4 linked regions of the Neodiprion lecontei genome follow. The protein of the gene in region 1 interacts with the protein of each later gene in a biochemical or structural test. Links are inferred from orthologs where the notes say so. Each region holds a gene or a part of one and is shown in the gene's direction. Other genes may lie near its edges. The genes, in order: GTP-binding nuclear protein Ran, probable nuclear transport factor 2, importin-11 and importin-5.

The links.
Region 2: the proteins of GTP-binding nuclear protein Ran (region 1) and probable nuclear transport factor 2 form a complex in vitro, tested with the Homo sapiens proteins (3 studies listed by BioGRID, with this or other methods). The link is inferred for Neodiprion lecontei from reciprocal best matches to the Homo sapiens genes RAN and NUTF2.
Region 3: the proteins of GTP-binding nuclear protein Ran (region 1) and importin-11 form a complex in vitro, tested with the Homo sapiens proteins (2 studies listed by BioGRID). The link is inferred for Neodiprion lecontei from reciprocal best matches to the Homo sapiens genes RAN and IPO11.
Region 4: the proteins of GTP-binding nuclear protein Ran (region 1) and importin-5 form a complex in vitro, tested with the Homo sapiens proteins (2 studies listed by BioGRID). The link is inferred for Neodiprion lecontei from reciprocal best matches to the Homo sapiens genes RAN and IPO5.

What each region holds. Positions count from the first base shown.
Region 1 is NC_060261.1:38,788,101-38,792,807, forward strand, and holds GTP-binding nuclear protein Ran, read left to right. Parts: upstream 1-1,964; 5' UTR 1,965-2,119; intron 2,120-2,179; exon of another isoform or gene 2,180-2,517; intron 2,518-2,657; 5' UTR 2,658-2,690; coding exon 2,691-3,122; intron 3,123-3,286; coding exon 3,287-3,502; 3' UTR 3,503-4,200; downstream 4,201-4,707. Other genes in the region: syntaxin-1A, read right to left, coding at 79-165, 1,632-1,664. UniProt on the Homo sapiens protein: GTPase involved in nucleocytoplasmic transport, participating both to the import and the export from the nucleus of proteins and RNAs. Switches between a cytoplasmic GDP- and a nuclear GTP-bound state by nucleotide exchange and GTP hydrolysis.
Region 2 is NC_060264.1:3,873,303-3,879,515, reverse strand, and holds probable nuclear transport factor 2, read left to right. Parts: upstream 1-1,765; 5' UTR 1,766-1,946; coding exon 1,947-2,054; intron 2,055-2,136; coding exon 2,137-2,208; intron 2,209-2,875; coding exon 2,876-2,974; intron 2,975-4,142; coding exon of another isoform or gene 4,143-4,256; exon of another isoform or gene 4,257-4,300; intron 4,301-5,311; coding exon 5,312-5,425; 3' UTR 5,426-5,708; downstream 5,709-6,213. Other genes in the region: sodium channel protein Nach, read right to left, coding at 67-208, 315-460. UniProt on the Homo sapiens protein: Mediates the import of GDP-bound RAN from the cytoplasm into the nucleus which is essential for the function of RAN in cargo receptor-mediated nucleocytoplasmic transport.
Region 3 is NC_060265.1:24,089,102-24,097,125, forward strand, and holds the start of importin-11, read left to right. Parts: upstream 1-2,022; 5' UTR 2,023-2,201; intron 2,202-3,052; 5' UTR 3,053-3,061; coding exon 3,062-3,184; intron 3,185-3,383; coding exon 3,384-3,484; intron 3,485-3,573; coding exon 3,574-3,687; intron 3,688-3,859; coding exon 3,860-4,266; intron 4,267-4,341; coding exon 4,342-4,605; intron 4,606-4,692; coding exon 4,693-4,848; intron 4,849-4,942; coding exon 4,943-4,983; intron 4,984-5,129; coding exon 5,130-5,312; intron 5,313-5,484; coding exon 5,485-5,596; intron 5,597-5,682; coding exon 5,683-5,903; intron 5,904-6,001; coding exon 6,002-6,166; intron 6,167-6,254; coding exon 6,255-6,447; intron 6,448-6,693; coding exon 6,694-6,931; intron 6,932-6,995; coding exon 6,996-7,092; intron 7,093-7,156; coding exon 7,157-7,419; intron 7,420-7,646; coding exon 7,647-7,788; intron 7,789-7,931; coding exon 7,932-8,024. Other genes in the region: 40S ribosomal protein S6, read right to left, coding at 105-305, 935-1,080, 1,152-1,356, 1,882-1,887. UniProt on the Homo sapiens protein: Functions in nuclear protein import as nuclear transport receptor. Serves as receptor for nuclear localization signals (NLS) in cargo substrates.
Region 4 is NC_060264.1:23,246,876-23,251,613, forward strand, and holds the start of importin-5, read left to right. Parts: upstream 1-1,737; 5' UTR 1,738-1,765; coding exon 1,766-1,900; intron 1,901-2,802; coding exon 2,803-2,952; intron 2,953-3,413; coding exon 3,414-3,640; intron 3,641-3,726; coding exon 3,727-3,823; intron 3,824-3,853; exon of another isoform or gene 3,854-3,983; intron 3,984-4,106; coding exon 4,107-4,672; intron 4,673-4,738. UniProt on the Homo sapiens protein: Functions in nuclear protein import as nuclear transport receptor. Serves as receptor for nuclear localization signals (NLS) in cargo substrates.

The sequences.
Region 1 (4,707 bases):
CTTCATGTGTATAATCGTATACTTTCGATTCGTCGATTTCTCTTCCATTCCTCTTTAATGCGAATTTTTCAAACTCACCTCCGCGAAGAATTCCGTCATGAAATCATCCTGCCCTCCCACGTTGACGGACACCTCGTCCGCCACGTCGTCATCGTCCGACTGAGCCTGTGAAAAAAGTAAAAATTTTCAATTATCGTCATAACGTACACGTGCATTTTAAATACGTAAAAACTGTCACTTCAACGTCTCTGCGGAGAAAATTTTTCAAGGTATTGCGAAGAAGAGGAAGCTCGATTCGCTCACGCAACAACCAGCCGAGTAACCGGTGATAAGAATTCTCAACCGATAATCAGTTTCCGGTCAAGTCAAGAACTGATTTCACATTTTTCGTACGGAAAAGGATACGAGAATCATACTCGGAAAACCCTGCCAAACGAATGCCTAATATTTCTAACCCAATGCGCACGAATAATACGATAAAATGATATCCCGGAGCTATTATCGTTTCAGTGATAAAACTGACAAGTTTACTGTGTATTTGTGACGCCGTCGGGTATGTGGAACAGCTTTTGAAGGACGGAAGAATGTGCCGACGGCCTTCTCGGAGGATTTGACATTCGAGTTAGCACAGGGTTGTTTTTCATCGTGACTCTTTCTCTCGATGCGTAATCAAAGTACACAAGTTGTTTCTTCGCTGCAGTACCGTGCGAATCACCGATATAAATGACGCAAAGTTTTTCATCTACTGATCTAGCGTTGTTGTTTTGTAATTTTTACAGATATTCAACAAATCGGAGGGGTGAAAAAATATCTGGACACTAGGTATTGTACTCGGAATAACGGAACGATTGAGTAATCAACGGTACTGTGTACAAATGTGAGATAATACAGCTCTGTGTACAGATGTGTACGCGCACTGTGTCAATACGACGAAAACCGTTCGTACTTTCGTAGTAAACGATATTTACGAACATTTTCCTGCCAATTGATTGGATTCGGTGAATTAGCCGGAAATTGCTACAATCAAAAGAATACAAAAAAAAAAGAGAAGAGACGAATCTGATTCGAGATCTGATTAGAGCCGACTCGATATGGAGAGAACTAAGCGTCGTTTCCTAATACGGTTTGACAGTGGGAGGAAGAGAATAAAAAACGGAAGAAGGAAAATATCTTTTGTTACGAGATTGACAGGTAATGAAAGCGACAAAGGGGTGGGGCATAGGCAGATAAGATGACAGCTCACTGGCTGCATCATAGAGATATATGGAGATATATATATATATATAGAGAGAGAGAGAAGGAGAGAAGTCAGTCAGCAGCTGAAATAGGCCGATGACGCGGACCATAGACACCTGTCACCTAAGGATACCGGCGAAGCGGTTGCCAGGACGTAGGTGATAAGTGTCCTGGAGCGATTTTTGCACGTTTAAAACGACGTTAACCTATCGGGCTCAATTCGACGCATTGTTTTTCATCCGGCAACCGCACTATCGGGGTGGGTCGAGCCGTGACAAGCGTATCTCGACTGGCATCGTATATTCGTACGTAATGTAACACGTTACGAGGTTGTGAACGGTTGTCTAGCGGCTCGGCAGCAGGAGCGAGGTGCGTGTAATTGTGTATAAACTCACCGCGACGAGGGCCGCTAATCTATCCTTGGTCATGTTTTATCACGTGTCGCGAGTCACTGGGCGTAGAGCAAAATCCACCTAGTAAATAATCCCATTCACGATTTTATCCATGTAAGAGGAGGATGCACAGCCACTAAAAACTAAGGAAACGGACACACTAACCGCGAGACACGATCATAAAATCGATACGTCTCGCGATTCGCCTGCTTCTGCAGTGCCGTCGCCGATTAGTGCGCATGCGCAGCTGACGTCAAAACGGCGCACGTCAGATGTCGCTTCGCCGATTTATTTCTCATCAGCACAACCGTACCGTTTTTTATTTTGCAAACACACCCTGTTCATAATTGTTTTCTTATTTTTTCGCTTCTAACCGCACCACTTTCATTCACAACCTATCGACCCTCGCGTCCGACGAATGACGAGGTCCTCTACCGCCGTTCGCCTACCCTGAGGAACGCCATTGTGAACCATAACGACTGTGCGAGACGGTGAGTTTTATCGCCCATTTTCACGTACATCGTATTATACCGGGAAATTCCCTTGCCGCTCTGAAATATTCGACATTTTTCACCAACGGAGCACGGATATATTTCGAAAAACGTTGAACTTGAGTCGGTTACCGCTTCTCGGCGATACCGGTCTTTTAACATCAATTTCCCTTGATACAACCGAGCGGCGCCATTTCTACGCTTAACGAGATCATTTCTCGACCGTTTAATGCCGGCGTGGAACGCACGCGGCGGAAACCGAACCGACCGGCATCTCTGTGTCGCGATAAACTCCGAAAGTTCAGGCCGGCGTTTGGCTTTCGGTTAGGCATCATCGCGATCCTCGATCCGTCTTCATAGTCAGCGTCACTGTCTGTACCGATGATACATATATAGAGGTTGGATTAACAAGTCACGTTTCTCGCGCGTGATTGTCCCACGTAGACGAATATTTCGTTATAGTTATTTCTCGCCACGCGGATCTTCGCTTCCGCCCTGTATTTTACCTCCTTTAATCCTTGGATAATATTGTTCACAGTGAGGCAGGAACGTTGGAACAATATCAGCCAAGATGACTCAGGAACCCGATATGCCCACCTTCAAGTGCGTCCTCGTCGGCGACGGAGGTACGGGCAAAACGACCTTCGTCAAGAGGCACTTGACGGGTGAATTTGAAAAGAAGTACGTTGCGACACTGGGCGTCGAAGTCCATCCCTTGATATTTCACACGAATAGAGGGCCGATCAGATTCAACGTTTGGGACACTGCTGGGCAGGAGAAATTCGGAGGTCTTCGAGACGGTTACTATATCCAGGGACAATGCGCCGTTATCATGTTTGACGTAACATCTCGTGTCACCTATAAAAATGTACCAAACTGGCACAGAGATTTAGTTAGAGTCTGCGAAAACATTCCTATCGTACTATGCGGCAACAAGGTTGACATCAAGGACAGAAAAGTCAAAGCCAAGAGCATCGTATTTCACAGGAAGAAGAATCTTCAGGTATGTTGTTCTTTCTGTTGATGCAAATTTACGCAGACTCCCTACCTCGATCTCATAGCTGCTTCTGTTGTGTTCGAACATCTGTGCAAACTGTTTAAAATAATTTTGATACTTGAAATGTAGAAAAATGCAATTTGTTGATATTTTGCATTTGATTTTAACAGTATTACGACATCAGTGCGAAGAGTAATTACAACTTTGAGAAACCGTTCTTGTGGCTGGCTCGCAAACTGATCGGAGATCCTAACTTGGAGTTCGTCGCTATGCCGGCTCTCCTGCCACCTGAAGTCACAATGGACCCACAATGGCAGCAACAAATTGAAAAGGATCTCAAAGAAGCTCAGGAGACAGCGCTCCCGGAAGACGATGAGGACCTTTAGTTTCATTACCATCAATCAATGCTGAAGGCCTTACTGCGAGGTCTTGGCGAGCGCCTTACTGCACGTCATGTGCTCGCCCTTAAATGTTTAATGCGAATAAAATAATTATATAAATATCGGTCGAAGGAACTTTCCTTTTATGAAAATTCCTTTATCATTTTTCTTTGTAATTCATATCGCATTACTTGAGTATCCAACTAAATAGAAATTTTTTTTTTTTAAGTATTCTGATAACATTGTAGTTATTCGATTATGAAATTAGCGCGTTTTAAAGTTGGATATTTTTGTGATTGTTCACTTTAAAATTTTTTATTGTGAATAATGCATCGACTGCATAATTTTTAACGTCTACTTTTTTCTGCAATCATTTTTTTTCTTGTATGCTGGTTACAATTGTTGTATTTGTGGATACTAAAATACATTTAACTTATTTAATAATCAATGGTTTTGCTTTATTTTCAAAATTAGAACCGTATACTGAAACATGTGTTAAATTCTTGACTTATTTTTAATGACAAGGATTAATTATAACATGAATCGTAATATACACGAAAGATACTTTTGCAAAGAAAAAGTCCTTCGATTGCATAAGAATGCGTGTTAGCTCACTGTGAACTAAACTGAATTTAAAATTACAAGAAGAATGGTTCAAAAAAAAAAGTAACAATGGTATTTATTGGGAGTAACCGGCTACTTTAGGGATTGTCTGTTGTCTGCGAGTGTGTGCTTGAAAGGGTAGATTATTAATAAATAATTACTAAACTATGTAATATCGTTCCATGAATTGTACTCGTATGGACAGAGTATGTTTGCGTCTTTCCACGTTCTTGAGGACTGTTTACTATTTTTATAAGCGAAAGTGTATGTATGCTTTGTTCGGCTTGAATTTAAATTGTAACAAAAATTACCTACAGTTCTTTTTTCTTCTGTACTCGAACCAGTTAATTTATTCTATTCGTTTTTTATTTTTATTTTCTTTGATTAACGTAAATAGAAAATTTGTGTGACAGACTTCTTTTCACAAACTGTGTGGAAAATTTCGATTACTTCTTTTTGTAACAATGTTAACATCACTTTAAACATTACATTATGTAGTAGTATTGAATTTTTGAACGTTGTAATTTCGATCAATTCTTCCTTTCGTTATCAATCAATAGAGAAGGATTTATGCGAAGAGAAAATTACACCGCTAATACATGTGAAAT
Region 2 (6,213 bases), on another chromosome or scaffold:
TGCAGGGAATTGACACTCAGTTTCAGATAAAATTCACGTAGATATTATGAGAGTACAGTAGCTCACCTCCGTGAAAAGACTGACAATATCGTCAGAAGTCAACTTGGTAAATTCGTTTGTAACCTGTTTACTGGATTTTTTGGTGATACCAGAAAATAGCCAGCGCCATGCGTAGGGATTTATTTTGGAACCAAATTTTTTACTGTGTCTAAAAAACGAAAAAACAAAAATTTTACCTACTCAACGCACCATATCCAATATACAATTTTTACAAAACCTTGACACATTTTATTTTTTCAGTTTTTAAAACATACAAAGAGTTAGCGGTGATCAGGGATTTTGGAACGGTACGCATGCAAACGCTAAGCGATGGTAATTTCGTTTGCCAATTGAGGTACGTGCTTTCTATGGTGAACGCAACCGATCGATTCAGAAAAGCATCCAACGAATTGTTGATCATTGTTATACAGCCCCACCAGCACAGAGCACAAGTGACTAGCCAAAATAATCTGCGATTCAATAGGAGAAAAATAATTATGTCCGCTATTGTATATCAACACTTGAAAAAAAATTCAACGTAGTGTACCTTTCAGTCCAATGTAGACCATCTTCGACTACGTACCGAAGTCCATGGACATTAGAATTACTTAAATACCGTTTTAGAGTAATCCATGTTTTGGAAGTACGAGTCATTGCTTCAATGCGCGAATGATTTTTTTTATCATAACACAGATATTATAAAGCGAAGCATACACGCAATTAGCGCATCAATTATTCATAATGAAAACATGTCTCGTACGTGACGAATCAGTATCCGTTGATATTAGCCGTGATAGATCGCAGTACGTAGCGTGTTTCCCGTCCTAACAGAAACACAGATTTCGAAATCAATTGTAAATACGTACAGCATTTAAAATGTTGTAAGATTTTATTGTAATATTCTACAAACTTTAGTCTAGACTTCCATAATCTAGACATAGATAAAATCAACGAAATTGTAGCGAATTAGAATTTAGGTCGAACAGCATCTAAAAATAATAGAACCAGACTTCGTCTGTATAATATAGCGCTGCAACTATTATTTTCTCTAATTACGTATTAAACCTTTTTCTTTATGCGAAAAATTTTCTTTTTCGTATATAAATATCAGCAATAAACTATCTTGTTTATAGTGCATTTAATACATGCATAGCAGCTCCTAATTCTCGGCTAAGTTTGATTTGGCAAAGTGAAATAATATTTTCGAAAGCACAGCTTAGATTAAGCGTAGCTATAAGAATTCACGAGGTACGTGTGGTACGTAAAACTAAACTTTCGTACTACAGTTGACATTTATTCTGAAGTCTATTTCTTCTTCAAAAAAATAAAATTCAACTCGCAAAATGATTTTTATTATAAATTGATTCAGAGCCTTTACAGCCTTATGTCAGGCAACCTGCATCACATTATTGTTCACTTTTCGACCAGGCAATCCAGGCGCTCTCGTCAAGTAATAGACGTTAGTAGATAAGTGTACAATAAAAATGAAGAAATTATTCGTTTCCTTTAAACTGCTCAAAAGCATGAAGGAATCTAATTTCGGTAATTATGTATCCGTATTTTCATTACCGAAACATATGGAGAGTGGAAAACAGGGCATACAGACATGTCGTGCAGTTTTCGTGGTTTGAACAAGTTCGAGAGGTCGATATTCGAGATCAGCGTTCGATTATCGTTTGCTACGAGAGTCTCGAAGTAGGTATCACCGATAATTTTGGTATCGCTGATCGTTTCCTCCCCGCTTTTGGCAAGTGGCACGAGGGGATGTCGAACGGCGTTGTTTTGTCCCTTTCCTAGGATTTTTCTCGAACTGTTAATCGTTGGCGCGGGTTAAACCACCTAACCGAATTATAGTTGTTATAGATATATATTTTATAATAGGTACGAACGTAAATAATAACGTGATAATGGCGTTAAACCCGTCATACGAAGCCATCGGGAAGGGCTTCGTCCAACAATACTACGCGTTATTTGACGACCCAGTTCAGAGGCCGAATCTAATAAATATGTACAATGTGGGTATAACGTATATCGCATAACCTCCATACATGAATTACTATTCTTACGCAAAATCGTTAACTCGCCTAACCCTTACAGACAGAATCGTCCTTCATGACCTTCGAAGGATTACAGATTCAAGGAGCTATTAAGATCATGGAGAAGTTGACTGTAAGTTGTAATAAAAAACTATTGATACTTCACCTCGCCCAAAGCAGATGAAACTATCCTATTATACGTACTGTTCACCCACCACCCCAACCCAATCTACGATTAATTATTTCTCCCGTGTCCAAGGTGACACTCTATGGTATTATATTGCGTTAACGAGTCCTGCGGTTCCCAGTTTCACGCCTCGTCGGATGTAGTTTTAGGATTTCTTCAAAGAATCGGTAGACCGATATTTAAAAGATCTAGCATATCCACTGTGTATACAAAGTTGGCCTTGACTTTACATTTGTTTACTTGTTGTCGATGAAAGTGGTCTGTCATAGATTAAATCTTAAACTTCTTTTATCATAATCCATTCAAACAAAGCGTGTAAACCTTGACAGGAACTGTTCTCAGAAAGTAATCGTACTGGCTTCGTTTCATGCTCAGTTGAGTTGAGAGCTATTCAGAAATAATATCCTTTTAATTTGCAACTTCCGAATCATGTCAGTTTGAAATTAACAGTTTAGTGGGCACCACCCTCTGATCACAAATGTTTTTTATTGCATTTCGATATATCTTGACACTAAACTGGTGTGATAACAGTAGAAAAAAGTTGTTATAAAAATATTTGTTACACATACTGTTTTATCTTCAACTGCGATAATTGCTTTTATTTTTATTTCAGAGCTTAAGTTTTCAAAAAATTAATAGAATAATAACTGCGATCGACTCTCAACCTATGTTTGATGGAGGTGTATTGATCAACGTCCTTGGAAGGTTGCAGGTAAACTGATTCCCCTGTATTTCACATAATGGCACTTGTTTGATTATATTTTATTCGGTTTAAAATATCATATGTGAAGAAATTCGTGACCAGGAGGTTGATTGAAGATGAAGTTAGTCGAAAATTCCGGTCAGGTAAAGAGAGTTTAATTATTTGGAAAACGTAAACATGTTTAAACGTTTCCGACGTTTCGGCTGGGCCCTGCAGAGGCCCCTGTGTTATAAATTGTTTACATATTCTTTTAATTTAATTTCACAATTCAATATTACTCACAGAGGATCATTGAAATCGAGTGGAAGAAAATATAAACAAATAAACGATCAGGTAGTGAATAAATAAAAGGAACAGTTGCTAAATTTGAACTGATTTAGGTCTGAATGCATTTATAAATTTACCATTTCATTACAGAAAAGCTATGTAACTAGCTGTGTATCTATTCCGTTGATTATAATTATTATCGCTTGCTTTGTACAATATTTGTTCATGTATTTTTGTATTTTGCCTTTCATTTACTTACAAATTAAGATTTTTTAGCTATCATTTGGAATTATGATGCGGAATTGGCCGTACATTTGGTAAAATAGTCCAAGTTTCCACTCTACTGCTAATTCTGTTAAACTAGAATATACATTTTGCCATAACAATATCTATATCTTCAATCAGATTGTCGGTTATGATTGTATTTCTCTGAATACATAGTTTATTGTTACCTGTGGCGAACAAATTAGCTTGATTTGAGCTTCAGTTAAATCGTTCGCTGTAATCTATTTTCATGGTAGAATTTTGGCGGTATAAAACTTTTTGACCCTATTCTATATTTGTCTATAATAAGACAGTGTTTTATCTTTTATTGCTGCTGAATTATTTGCGAAATGCACCTTCCAATGTTTGGGCATTCAGTTTTTAGGATATATAATAACATCTGGCCAGGTTGATAATGTTAACGTTTTACATCCATCCGAAGTGGGGTCAATTCATCTTTAAACAAATTTTTTATCACGTGCGTATCGTATTGCATGAAAAAAAGGAATTTTTCCATATCGGTATATAAAGGTGTAAAGATGTTATCAATCACTGAGAAGTGTTTCATCACCTATCCTTAATATCTATGTCCGTGTACCGAAGATCAGACATTGAACTGAGTCAGTGATTGTTGATGATTGGGCAGACTGACGAGGATCAGCCCCACGCGTACATCCAGACATTTGTACTGAAGGCTATTGGTACCAGCTTTTTCGTGCAGCACGACATCTTCAGACTCGCGTTGCACGACACTGTCTAGATGTCTGACATCGTTTGTCCATCGATCTTCATGACGGGGCACAGGCAAGCTCAGCCTTCTTCTATCGTTCTGCTTTTTATTTCTGTTAACGCAAGCACCCCCTGGCTTGTTCTGATTCGCATCAACTTATTATTTTATTTTCCTTTTTAAAAAAGATTGTTTTAATGGATTGTTTCAACACGTATCTTCTATTTTTTAGCATTCCAATCTGGCAAGCAAATAATATTTCAGTATTACCTCAGTTCTTGGGTTTAGAACAGTTATCCGTTTATCAATCATTTTTTTTTTTTTTTTACGGAGCTTTCTTATTAGAAATATCAATTTTTCGTTCCACTTGTAATAAACTCTATCATGCTACTAGCGTATGATGGCGCCTAGAAAATTGTAAAACAACACTCATAAAAGCACTGTTGTCCTGTAACTAAGGGTACGCTATTTTATAAGTGATTAACATTGGCCTCATGTTCAACTAATATTTTTCATTGTAATAAGCACAGACCTGTTACTCAATATTGAGCATCCTCAACCCAGACGATTATAAATAAAATAACTGCCCTCATCCTATAATGATCTGATATTCTATACTAATATCCGATCAGGCAATCGTAACACTTTCCTCATGTTGCTGGAAAACTTTAAGATCTGTAAAAGAGAAATTCAGTATACTTTTGGTAAAAACTATTAATTTCACAGTGTTGATTTCTGTTCTCTTCAGTCTCGATTATAATTTCGTTTTGTTTTAGCATAACGCTCTGCATTTGATGCTGCGTAGACGTATTATGACGCTTCTGCTTATGCTTGCATTAAGAAGTTGTGAAACTATACATGATTTATTATCCATATTCAACTCTATTATATTTTTCACTTGCAAATAATGCCTAAAACAGATCTTAGCTAGCAACTGTCCTTAAAATATGTTAAATAACAGAATTTTTATATACATGGCGTATGAGATTAGCATTAGGTAAGGTTCTGTTAGAATACAGAAAAATGTTCTTCTTTATACGATCGAGAAGAAATTTATCTGTACAATATTGATTGAATTGTCATTTTAGGCAGACGAAGATCCACCACATGCATTCTCCCAAATATTTGTGCTCAAGCCACTGGGAAATTCTTTCTTTTGTCAGCACGACATCTTCCGCCTTGGGATACACGACACTGTGTGAGATCTCTCGCTACTTTCTGACACGCTCGATGTAAAAGATGATTGGAACAAAGACAGAGAAACAAAGAGAAGAAATATTTAATAAAACTCACCAGTGAGCCACGCTCGCTTCCAGCTTTAAGATAAGTGAGCCAATAATCTTTCATTTTGAAATTCTTCGTCATCGCACACTAAGCGCTCATTATCCTCAGAGATACCACAGTTTTTATACAAGGAATTTCCTGCTTATCTTATACAAACGTGGCCACAACCATCTTTTAACAATAAACAGGATTCAATAATTATTTTGTTTATTCAATTTCCTCATTCATAATGCTATGGCTCCCATATTCTCAGTTACTTTTCTTTCATCTTTCGTATACTATCAGAACCTTTTTTTTTTTTTTCATCCCTCGCCATTTTTCACTATTTTTCCTCTATGAATAGCCTTAAAGTTATAACGGCCGTTAGCGTGAAATTCTTCTGTAGAAAATATTATTAAGTTTAAAATCCAAAAGTAAAAAAAAAAAAGATATCCTGTAATACCGTATTGGCCTATGTATTTTTATAAATAATTAGAAATTGTACGTTAAATATAAAATATGTATCATCCTATAATCATATGAATGAATTCACGACCTGTTATTAAGTGACGTACTGCTTTTATCCGTGCAGAATAATAATCATCTGTATTATTGCAAGTTTCTCAATGATCGGAATCCTTTTTTTTTTTAGAGTTACTTAAACCTTGCACAGGTCAAGTTTCTTCTGATTCTGGTACCATTCACCTTTATCTGTTTTATAATAATT
Region 3 (8,024 bases), on another chromosome or scaffold:
CACATGAACGTTTCTAAGATATGTTGGTTCACTTAGACACTGCCTGAGCATGGCTAGTAGTTTTGGAATTTCATAGATCTAAGTGCAAAGGTGATATGTCGTACCTGAAGCGTAAGTGGGGTGATCAAACGCTGAATCTTCGGTGCCTTATGACGCTCCTTCTTACCTTCCTTGCGCACCGGCCGTTTGACTACAAATTGACGTACGTCATCATCCTTAGTCAGGTTAAACAGCTTGCGGATTTTGCTTGCACGCTTAGGCCCAAGACGACGAGGTACATTCTTGTCAGTCAATCCCGGAATTTCCTAATTATAAAAAAAAAACTCTTGAAATTGAATAAACAACGCATGAAAGTAATTTATTGGCTAAACCTGATCTAATTCATGAATAATTGTAATCGATTGTATTCAAATACAAGTAAAAAGGTATTTTGTGTCATTTGTACACTAAGATAGAGTGCAAAGATTATACACAATTTCTCAAATCTATAAATGACCATTTCATTTTCCACGCACATGAACGCCCCCAATAGAATTTGTAATAATTGGACACTGCCTGAGCGTGGATTAGAGTTGCCACAAGATTGTACAAAATAAAGAGATGTAAAGATTTTCAGATGTAAAATAATAAATTAATGTATATGAAAAAGTTGATTTGCAACATTGTAAAACATGAGTGAATAAAAATAAACATCAAGAATCATTATTATGATATCCACCAATTTGGAAAGGAAAAACCCTAACCAACTAAAAATCATATTTTGCCTCACTATACCAAACAGAAAATTACCTACATTAATGAATATTCTTAGATAATTTACTAAATTCTATTACTTGTTCCTAACCTGCAATAGAAATTAACTTAAACTGATTCAGGTGTTAGCTGATGCATAATGTTAATGACAATATATTGGATTTAGGAAAGCCATTTTTACCTGCTCGCCTTTTTTCACAATAACGAGTGCGAGAACTGAGAGATTGGCATCAACAATACAACCTCGCACTGATTTACGTTTACGCTCACCGTCACGACGCGGTCTGTAGCAAGAATGTCCTTTAGATAGAAGCAGACGTACACGACCTGCAAAAAAAGAAATAATTGCTAAATATTGTCAGAGCACTGGATTTACCAACAGTGGAATTATCATGTACCATTGGTCAGGACACCCTGCTTCATGGGGAAACCTTGCTTGTCGTTTCCACCAGCTACGCGTACAACGTATCCTTTCCATTCGTCACCTAGTGTGTCAGCTTCTACTTCAGCACCCATACGCTTCTCGTAGAAAACTCTGAGCTTGTGCTCATCCGTTATTTCGAGTAGTTTTTGGCATCCTGTTGCCGGAAACGACACGTTCAGCTAAAAAAAATTATCAAGTATATTGACCAATGAAAGTCGAATTGGTAAATTTACGATCAATATCGATCGCTGAATGGAACCCCCAATTGACGCGTTATTAAATTATGGCCTACAATGACTGCGATGTAGTGTCCAAAATTCAATATAAATAGGTATGTCATTTGGGGCTACATGGGGAATTGTTTATAGGTTAGATTCCGACTGACGGGTAATATATTTCGAAACGTGTATCAGTGACATTCGATTGCGTTTGTTACAAATACGTGTGACATGATATAATTTTGAGTGTTAAATTTATCATAGCGTAGTTTAATATAAGGAATAAATTGTGGTTTGGCCACAACGATATACAAGCCCCGTGTCCCGCACTAATCAACAAAATTTGCAAAAATGAACTTGTTTCGGTTAAATAAAGAAAGATAAGCCATATCTGCACAGAACTATTCCTTGTATATCGCCCTTCAATTAGCGCACTTTATTTTTCTGGAGTATTAAGGGATTCTTGAGATATTATTGGATTTCTACCTTCATGGTGACAAGAACTATGCCGCGCCACGAGCCATGTAGTAAGAAAGAACTCCGGTGAACACCGGCAGAGTGCGCTTACCGGAAGTTTCGAGGGTGGAGGCCACGTGACCTCCGACGGTCAAATCACAGTCGCCAACGGTGTAAAATAAAAGATCTTTGGCTTTGCCCAAAATCCTAAATGCCGACTTGCGTTGTGACATTCCGATTAATAGAGAACTTGAAGAGGAAATTTCTTATTTATTAAATTTGTATGTACGTAAATATCTATAATAGATGGAGTGTTTTGAACGTAATTCAATCAATTGCATCTGAGCAAGGTAATCGGGTACTTTTGTAACACGTTTTTTTCTCAACAAAATACTGTGTATAGGTTAGTTCCCGTGCCACCCAATCTTTACCGCACATCGAAATTACTCTGAATTTTGAAAAACAATCTAACTTACCAAATCCGCCTAAATTTCGGCAATAGATTACGATGAATCCCAGATGCTGATATTTATAAAACAATGTTATTCCACGAGCGGGGAATTAATTTTGTTCCAAACGCTTATGCATACATTTGTTTATGAATTATTCGATTTAAGCTTCTAGTCATGAGTGATTTAAAAGAATTTCGATGTAAAAATAGATCAAATTCTCAGTATTCTTTGTCTTCTTTATGAATCTGCATGATCGTACTTTTCCTTTAAATGGTAAGCCACTTTGATTTCATTTACAGAATTCGTATAATTCGTGAAAAAACGAAGATATAGTGTTGTTCGTTCGAATCATTAACTTGCACACGCAGTGTTCATGTCCGATGATTAATATATTCGATATCCTCTTGCACATTAATCTATATAACAAATAATATATATCTTAGTACTGCCACCAGCTGTTACAAGGAGTTACAAATATTTTTGCGAGTTATAATGTGCATGTCCAAAAATAACATTCATTACTTGCAAGCTGCAGTTTATTTATATAGTTACTTTCTCAGACAATAACCATCCTTAGACTTTTACAATAGTAAAAGTTGTAGGGTAAATATTATCTGATCACTAAACTTATATGAGCGGCAATATAATCTTGAATTATTCATTGAGTATATGAATTTTAAAATCATTTTCTTCGGTAATTGCTTTTCTGTTTACATGCAAATCCTTAAGAATTCATTGTATTTTTTCAGAGCAACGATATGGATGCAGCAGTTGTGGATATTTTACATAAGGCTGGTAGCCAAGATCCAAATGTACTCAAGCTAGCTGAACAGACTCTGAAAGAATGGGAAACACAACGTGGATTTTACACAGCATTATTTGTAAGATTCTGAATCCTTTAACTATCTGAAAATTCTTCGAATCAGCTATAAATGATCTGCAGAGGCATGCTAAATCTATGAAAAATGTACATGTAAATTTTGAATTGCACATGTACACCAGTATCAAAAAATTTGAGGTACCTGCAAAGTAGCGCACTTAAAATTGTGCAGTATGATAAAATTTTGATTTCGTTTACAGAATGTTTTTTCGAATCATTCCTTGGACATTAATGTAAGGTGGATTGCTATATTGTATTTCAAGAATGGCGTTGACCGATACTGGAGAAGAAATGCGCCAAAGTGAGTATAGATTCTTGTTATTATAAGTAAACTTGGTGTTCCTCACTCACTTTTCATATATACATAATTAACATGATGTTTTTGAACAGTGAAATAGCGGCAGATGAAAAAGAGTTTCTTCGACAACATTTGATTGCTGACTTCAACGAGCCTGTTAATCAATTGGCTGTACAGCTGGCAGTTTTAATAGCGAAGATAGCTAGGTGAGCCTTGATTCATTTTGTTCATAACCAGTTCTACTAGTTTTCATATTCGAACGGCACTACAATGCATTACTTGCAAATATATGAGTATGGTTTTGGTTGTAACTGAATTTAGGCAGCACCAACACACAAAATCTATTTAGATTCTTATGAAATTCTTTTGATTCCATAGGTATGACTGTCCCAGAGAATGGAGCACATTGGTACCAACTCTTTTAGAAGGAGTAAGAGGAGAGAATCCATTGACGCAGCATAGAGCGTTGTTGACACTTCATCACGTTGTCAAAACTTTAGCATCCATAAGATTAGTTGCAGACCGAAGGTTGTTTCAGGAATTAACAGCGAACGTGTTTAATTTCATTTTAAATTTATGGAACACTTATACCGAATCATTTCTGGTATTAGCATCGAACTCAGCTAGTCCAAATCAAATTCAAGAGGCATTAGAAAAAGCTTTGCTTTTACTGAGAATCCTCAGAAAATTGGTTGTCAGTCCATTTAACAAACCGTCCGAATCTCAAGATGCTATGATGTTTCTAAAAGTTGTTTTTGATCGAGCACGGAATAGCTTGGAGTGTAGTAAGTATTCTGACTTACTTCTCGTAAATGCACAAATAGATTTCGATTTTACATTATTTAATATCTGATTTTTAGGGAAAACTTTAATTTCACGTGGAATACAATTGGATGTGTGCGATAAATTTATAATTCACCTCACTAAAGTTTTGATAGGAGTACTGGAAGTGCATCCATTCTCCTATGTCGAACTCATACCTACATCATTAGAGTTCTCTGTGTTTTATTGTTTCACTGAAACTGGCCAAGAATTGGCATTCGAAAGGTTTATCATACAGTGCTTGAACCTGATGAAAGGAATATTGCTATGCAGTGACTACAGACCTGCCAAAATTATACAAGGCATGTGGAAGTTGCTACTTTGTGCGTTTTATATTATAGACACTAGATATATCACTAATTAAAACCTGAAATTTCTCATTTCTTCAGAAACAAAAAACCCTCTTACTCTGAGGGCATATCAATTACGACAGGAATTTTTTACAGTCGAGACACTGACTGAAATTTGCTCAAGATTGGTCACACATTATTTCGTTTTAACTCCAGCTGATTTAGAGCAATGGGATTCTGATCCTGAAAACTTTGGTAATGTTGCAACACCAAGAATTTTAATTATTACTTAACATCTACCAGATTGCATTACTGAACTTACATTGCACTGCACTGAATTATTTTCTAGTTGTTGATGATGGCGGAGAGGCATGGAAATACAGTTTGAGGGTAAATAATTTTTTTAAATTTATAATACCCTATATAGCTTTTAGTTTTAATCGTTTATTGCATACACTAAGGCTTGAAATCTGAAAAGTGTACATAAGTAAACTTATTGATCATGTTTATGATTAAACAATATTAACTTATTACAGCCATGTACAGAATCAGTGTTCTTGGCTGTTTTCCATCAATTCAGGGATGTGCTTGCATCTGTATTAGTGGAACTAATGCAGAGCCACCATCAGCCTGTAGATCCTAATAATTTACATGCCATTCTTCTGAAAGATGCTGTTTATAATGCTGTTGGTCTTGCAGCATTTGACTTATATGATGAGGTAATTTACATTCGATTATTCTATCTATTGATGAGAATTTATAAATGAAAATCTTGTCCAAAAGTATGCTGACTTTTATGTCACTATTCACCGCGCATTGCATTATATTCGATTTTTTGGACTATCCTTCTAATGATTGATCGATTTGTTCTTTATTTCAATTCCATTTCAGGTGAACTTCGATCAGTGGTTTTCAACTACACTGAAACAAGAATTGAAAGTTGTAAGCAACAATTATAGGATAATTAGAAGACGCGTATGTTGGCTCATTGGGCAGTGGACCGGTGAGTGTGTCGGAAAAGGGCTTCAATATTTTCATTTACACTACTTGGCTAACTGATAATTTTATAATAAATAAATCAATTCCCAGGTGTCAAACTGAGTCCAGAACTGAGGCCTGAATTGTACAAATTGATGGTAGAATCGCTGAACCCTGAAGAAGATCTTGGAGTAAGATTAGCAGCAAGTGATGCCTTGAAATTGGCGATTGATGACTTCCAATTTCATACTGACGAATTTTCACCTTACCTAGAACCTGCATTTTCGTTACTGTTTGCTTTGCTTAAGGAGGTCCATGAGTGTGATACAAAAGTAAAAGGCTTTCAGCATATAATACTCATGCATCAAAATTTCAACAGGAAAGTTTAATGCAATCAACATTTTCGATCTAACGATGTTTCGATTTACAGATGCATGTTTTATATGTATTATCTTTCATGATCGAGAGAGTGGGCTGTGGGATAAGACCGCATGTAGGGGCGTTGAGTGCCTACATACCAGCTCTGTGGCAACAATCAGAGGAGCACAATATGCTCAGGTGTGCAATAGTATCCACCCTGGTACACCTCGAGAAGGTTGGTTTGTTAACAAGTCAGAAGTGTGAAATATGATTTAAAAAAAAGTTCATTTAGATATGTATTCCTATAATTAAACTGTTCCTAGGCTCTTGGATCTGAAAGCGTTGCATTGCAGCCAATGGTCGTGGGTGTAGTAGCGATGAGTTGCGACTTGACACAGGATGGCCACGTTTATTTACTGGAGGATGGACTAGAGCTCTGGTTGGCACTCCTGGAGAATGCCCCTGCATCTACACCTGCGATAATGGATCTCTTCAGAAATATGCCTGCCCTATTAGGTCGGTAATACCATCGTGAAATCAACAAGGTGTGCACGCCTAGCATAGAGAATGCGGCAGGTTGCGATACATCAATTGTTAACATTAAAGTGCAATGTCTAGCCATCAGTTTCTGTATTTTATACTTTACGCGGTACTTCAGACATTATATTACCGCAGTATGATTAGCGCGTTTATGTATGCGCGAAACCTCGTCTTCTATTTAAGAACAACAAAATTCAATGAATTTCGTATTTTTCTGTGTAGAAAGATCCGCGGAAAACCTAAGGCTATGCTTGTACATAGTACAGGCGTATGTATTACTGAGTCCTCAAGAATTTCTGGGTGATAGAGGAGCTGTGGTGGTAGCTACTTTGGGCTCAATTATAGGAGATTTACGATCGGAAGGAATAGTAATGGCAATGCGACTAGTCGAAACGTGTTTACGAGCTTTGTCACATCAGGGGGCACAACTCATCAAGCCGTTATTAACAAAAATATTCGAGTAAGTATTATAAACTATCATCTAAAAATCACTTTGCCAAATATTGATTTCAATTTCATTACAGGAGTGTCTACAAAGGCGAGGAATACCCAATGGTTATGTCAATGTATTTATCGATAGTTGCTCGCGTTTTGTTAGTATCCAGGGATATCTTTGTACAGGTAATGAATGAATTTCAGTTTTAAAAACTGACCAATCATTATATTTGTGCATATTATATTTCAGGTGATAGGAGAGTTATCTAGACAAGTAGGTGGCGGTGAATGGAGTGAAGAGGCAGTTCTTGGTAGAATGGTTTCAATCTGGGTAAACAGAATGCCTCTTGTCTCGCAATTAGAAAGACGTAAACTGCTGGCACTTGGTCTATGCTCGTTGCTTGGCGCTGACAGTCCACCCTGCGTTCTTCAACATTTTCCACGCATGGTATCAAATATTGTTGAAGCCTTGAACGATATTACAAAGATCGACGACATGGGCTGTCCCATCGAGTAGGCAGTTATTAATTATTCTATTCTTGCATGCCTCATTTTTCTCTATATTAAAATTCGATTTTATAAATGGCATATATTTTTCTATCTCAAAGACAGTCACCAGTTTTGGAAATGCGTACCTTAGTTTATACAACGATTAAATTATTTCTAGAATTAATCAACTAATTTTATGTACACTTTGAAAATATCCAAAGTATTATAACGGTTGTTTGACTTGACCTTAGCTCGCTGATGATCAGTGATCAGCCAAGTCCCTCGCAATACGAAGATGTAGATTATGAGACGGAACATGAACAACGAAGAAGAAGACTAGCATTTGGAGATCCGGTACACAGTGTCTCTTTGCAAGACACGCTTCAAGCTCAAGTAATTCTATTATATATACTCAAAAAAATGTTTTGTATTTCTCGATTTCTGTCCATGTATCATTTAACAATATATGATTTTCCATTGATTGACAATTTTCAATATTGCAGCAATCGTTAACAATGAATGTGATTGATTTTCAGCTAATCGCGCTTCGAAGATTTGTAGGAGAGAGTCAGTTCGATCAAATGATGCTCACTCTAAATTCTGATACTGACCAACAGCTCAAGGAGTAC
Region 4 (4,738 bases), on another chromosome or scaffold:
TTCACCAGGTAGCGGACCTGTAGCGCCGAAACTACGGAGCGCTCGTCTTAAAAGTCAAGTTTGACCAGGTAGCGAACCTGGAGCGCAGGAACCACGGAGCGCTTGTCCTGAAAGTTGCGTTCCACCAGGTAGCGGACCAGGAGCGTAGAAACTACGGAGCACTTGTCCTGGAACTCGAGGCGCACGAGGAAGCGGACCCGAAGCGCAGGATCCCGGAGGTAGAGAACCCGGTACCCGAAATCTGCGGAACGCGATTTTCATACGTCCGCTCTACTGCGCGGTTGTTTCCAGACTGACGAATTCGACTAGCTGATTACTGTAGATCGATGACGTCAAGAGAAAAAAAATTTTAGGAGACGTCACTTTCTGAAAATCCGATCATCCAAACTATGGTTTTGAACTTTAATACCATGTATGATGTATGATGTATGATGCATGATATGACGAGATTTATCATGATTTTAGTTTACACATTACAGACAAGAAATACGCACGTTATCTTTCCTGCCGATTCAAGCGGCTAGGTCCTTCGATGGTCAGCCGTTGACTAAAGACATATATTCTTCAGTTACGGGTCTGCTAATAACGCTGTCGTTCTACGATAGTTGGATGATAAAAATTTTTGCTCGTACCCTTCACATGTGTGTTAAAATACACTCGAAGTTTAAAGAAACTTCGTTCTTTCTCTCCCTGTCAAAAAAAAAAAAATCGCCGACAATCACCTCTTTAGGTCTTGAAATCAGGATACTGCGTTAAATACTGTCTCATATACGGAGCATCCATTTCATCTCGATCAAAATTAGCGCATCCGTGATGTATTACAGTTACTCCGATTTTTTTTCTATACGAACACTTCTTGAAACAATTCTGCTTCTCTACCCAACGTAGATACTTCACTCGCGACTAGCTAAATCAGCGTTTCTATTCTACGTCTACGAAAATTCAAGATCGAGAGAGCAAATGAAAAGTTGTTGGAATAATTATGAATATTGATGTTATGGAATATATCGAGCGTGTGTCGCATAGAAACCCATTTCGAAATTAATAACTCCTCTATTTTCATGTTATAGCCGTATTATTGTAGATAATAAAGTTTGTCTGCTGGAAAATTATAAAATATATAGTATGCATCACGTATTAATCGTAATACATATCAATATCTTACATGGACCGCACATACTTATAGCATACTTTTCGGTCTCTGCATCATTATTACATCTGATCTATTCTGATTTATGATCTATGTATACATTCTTCTCTCGAGTACCTATACTTTAACTGAATCACTGTTTTGCTACGAATTTCGGAAGAAATTTATTCTCATTATTAATTCCTTGTATCGCCAACAAGTTGGTAAGTACACACAGGCTAAGTACTGGCCTAGGCTTAAACACCAAATACCATTACGGCAACTGTATATTCTTCAGTCAACGGAACATCTCAGGGAGCGCAAGCGCATGACGATTTTCATTTGTCACACCAAAGCCCATAATAGCAACTGTTTTTATATTCTTCACTCAACGTCCAACACAATCCGATCGTCTTTGTCCTGAGTATGGAAAAGGCCCCCAGTGAATTTCAAGAGAACCTAAATTTTGAACTTCATAGCCCATCCAACTAGAATCCCCGAAGTGTCATCTGGAGGAATTCTGGCCATACCATGGTGATCGGGTAGGTGGCGTTACAGATCGCGTTCTCGGTTAGTTCTCCGCGATGAGCTGGGGAATTTTCCGACGTGGTATTAGCGGCAAGTCGGTGTCGCCGCATGACGATCGACTCGGAGGTGCTTGCGCAGCGATTCATTCGTTCGGCGGTGACAATGGCGGCAGACCTCGAGCAGTTCCAACAGCTTTTAAACACACTCCTAAGCACCGACAACGATGTCCGGACGCAAGCCGAGGTACGTAATGGCGTCCATTATTTCCCCTTTGCGAAGCCGACGTCCCAGTTCGACCGGGACACGTCGTTGCTTTTGAAATACAAGCGATACAACGCAGCTGCAAGCCTGTCGGCAACGTGTTTGTCACGAAAGAAAAGCTAACATGCGGTCGTCTCGCAAGTCCCCGTCGCTCTTTTTTGGCCCCAACGCCGCCGCCTCGGGCACGTCTCGCAACACCCTCGCCGCGTCTACTTATATTTAATGACTCTTCGAGGCCTGACAGGTGGCCCGGTTTTCGCTTAAAGGTCAAAATGGTGGTGCGTGCCGCGCGGCCCGCCAAACCGCTCCTACTCACGGCCATGGCCACGCCGCATGCCATCCTCCATGCCGCCGTATCCCTTAAGCCCCGATTCCAATTTCCCAATAAGCGCATCATCGGCGTTCAAGATCACCGACGCGCAATTCATTGCCCGAGCCACGCGCTTCGCGCGATTTGGCACAGTCACGCACCCTGAGTCTATATATACGTACATGTCGCGAGATATTCGCGCGCCTCGCGCATCCACCTCACTACTCATCGCAATTCCCGAATTCGCCTTCTGTCCACATGATCGGACCGTGTCCCTCGCCCATGACAGACTCACACGATCTTGGTGATACTGCCTATTGATATATGCTATATGTTGCGTGATGGCTTGATAAAAAACTCTTACTCCCTATTCGTATGTGCGTACAGGAACCGCAGAAGGTGCATGGATATGTGTCTGTCAGGAACCATATGTATGCACAACGATATGTGAGAGATAGAAGTCATTTCAATCTTTGATTTTCAACTTGACGTGATGCATAGTTTAAAGACAAGACATGATTTGTTTAGCGCAGATCAGTTTATAAGTAACCCCTGTAACCCCTTGTTTTTTTAGGAAGCGTACAACAGCCTGCCAGTGGAGAATAAGGTGACATTCTTGCTTGGCTCGATCTGCAATGCTACACTTGCCGAGGAAATGCGCGCAATGGCTGCAGTCCTACTTCGAAGATTGTTTTCTTCAGAGTTCATGGATTTTTATCCCAAAGTAAGTGAAATATCACTTGGTTTCAATCATCCAAACTAATCAGCAAAGCAAAGCCTCTGACCAACTTAGTCTTGTTGACTAGAAACTAGTTGCCTAATTTTTTCTGCATTGACCATTTGACATTTGCCTAGAATAAGTTTGATAAAAATATCCATGGGCATAAGTGTTGCGTTTGCATCCTCGTTTTAGCTTGCCATGTGGAGTCAGCAGTCATTTTCCATTAATGAGTTTGACAGCGTTACACCCATGGCAGATGAACTTGCTAGTCCAGTCTTTCTCCCATCTGTCGTTTTGACAGCTGGGATAACGAGGCCCTCGTAAGGCGTTTCTGAGAGTTGGCTGCGTGTTTCTCATTGCGTAGTCATAGTTTCGAAACATACACCACCACACGAATATTTCAAATCACTTTGGACCACACATCATGTCGCTGCTACAACAGTCTCAAAAAATTTCTTGTTTAGATTCCACCAGAAGCTCAAATTCAGCTGAAGGAGAGAATCTTACTCTCTGTTCAAACGGAACAAGCTGATACAATCAGACGTAAGGTATGCGAAGTTGCTGCCGAAGTTGCACGAAATCTTATCGATGATGACGGAAACAATCAGTGGCCGGAATTTCTTCAGTTCCTATTCCAGTGTGCCAATGGGCCAGTCCCTGCCCTCAAAGAGAGCGCTCTCCGCATGTTCACGTAAGATTTGTTTTGTTCTAAGTTGAGACGTATTCTGGCACTGAAACAACTGACTATAACTTGAATGTACTATTTTTTTTACTTAGGTCTGTACCTGGTGTTTTCGGAAACCAGCAAGCACATTACTTGGATCTAATAAAGCAGATGTTACAGCAGTCTGTGCTGGATGCAACGAATTACGAAGTGAGTCGCATGTATATAATGCATATATATCGGGAGGAAGATACGTTAGCGGATGTAAAATTGTATCCACTATTCACAATTTCTCCCAAAATTATATCTGCTTTCTGATGACTGTAACTTGTTGAGTGTTAAATTACAGACAGATACGGAGCAAATAAATGATCCATATACAAATACTGATTATTTACAAATGCTTTTCTTACTTTCATTCTATTTTCGTACATGTATATATATTCCGAAGCAAACTTTTTTAACATCGCTTATACTCTACGGGGAAATATAGGTGAGATTTCAAGCAGTCCGGGCGATCGGCGCCTTCATCATGCTGCACGAGAAGGAGACAAACATCCAGAAACATTTCTCAGAGCTGCTGCCAGCAGTGGTCCAGGTCATGGCGCAGTCAGTCGAGAAGCAAGATGATGAATTTTTGATCAAGGTTCTTATCGACCTGGCAGAGTCGACACCAAAGTTCCTGCGACCCCAGCTGGAAAACATTATGGAGATGTGCATGAAAATATTCTCCAACGAAGAGATGGGAGACTCCTGGCGGCAGCTAGCGCTTGAAGTCTTGGTTACACTGGCCGAAACCGCACCAGCCATGGTGCGCAAAGTTGGAGGTAAGTACATCGCCGCTCTGGTGCCGCTCGTTCTCAAGATGATGACCGACCTTGAGGAAGATGAGGAGTGGAGCTTTTCTGATGAGATTATCGAAGAAGACAACGACAGCAATAACGTCGTTGCTGAGAGCGCTTTAGACAGGCTGGCATGTGGCCTTGGCGGCAAGACGATGCTGCCGCAAATTGTACAGAACATTCCAACGATGCTTAGTAACACAGACTGGAAATATAGGTGAGATTTTGTCAATCTTTTTATCTTTGCAATCGATGTACACATCATGTGGAGTCAGCAGCTATG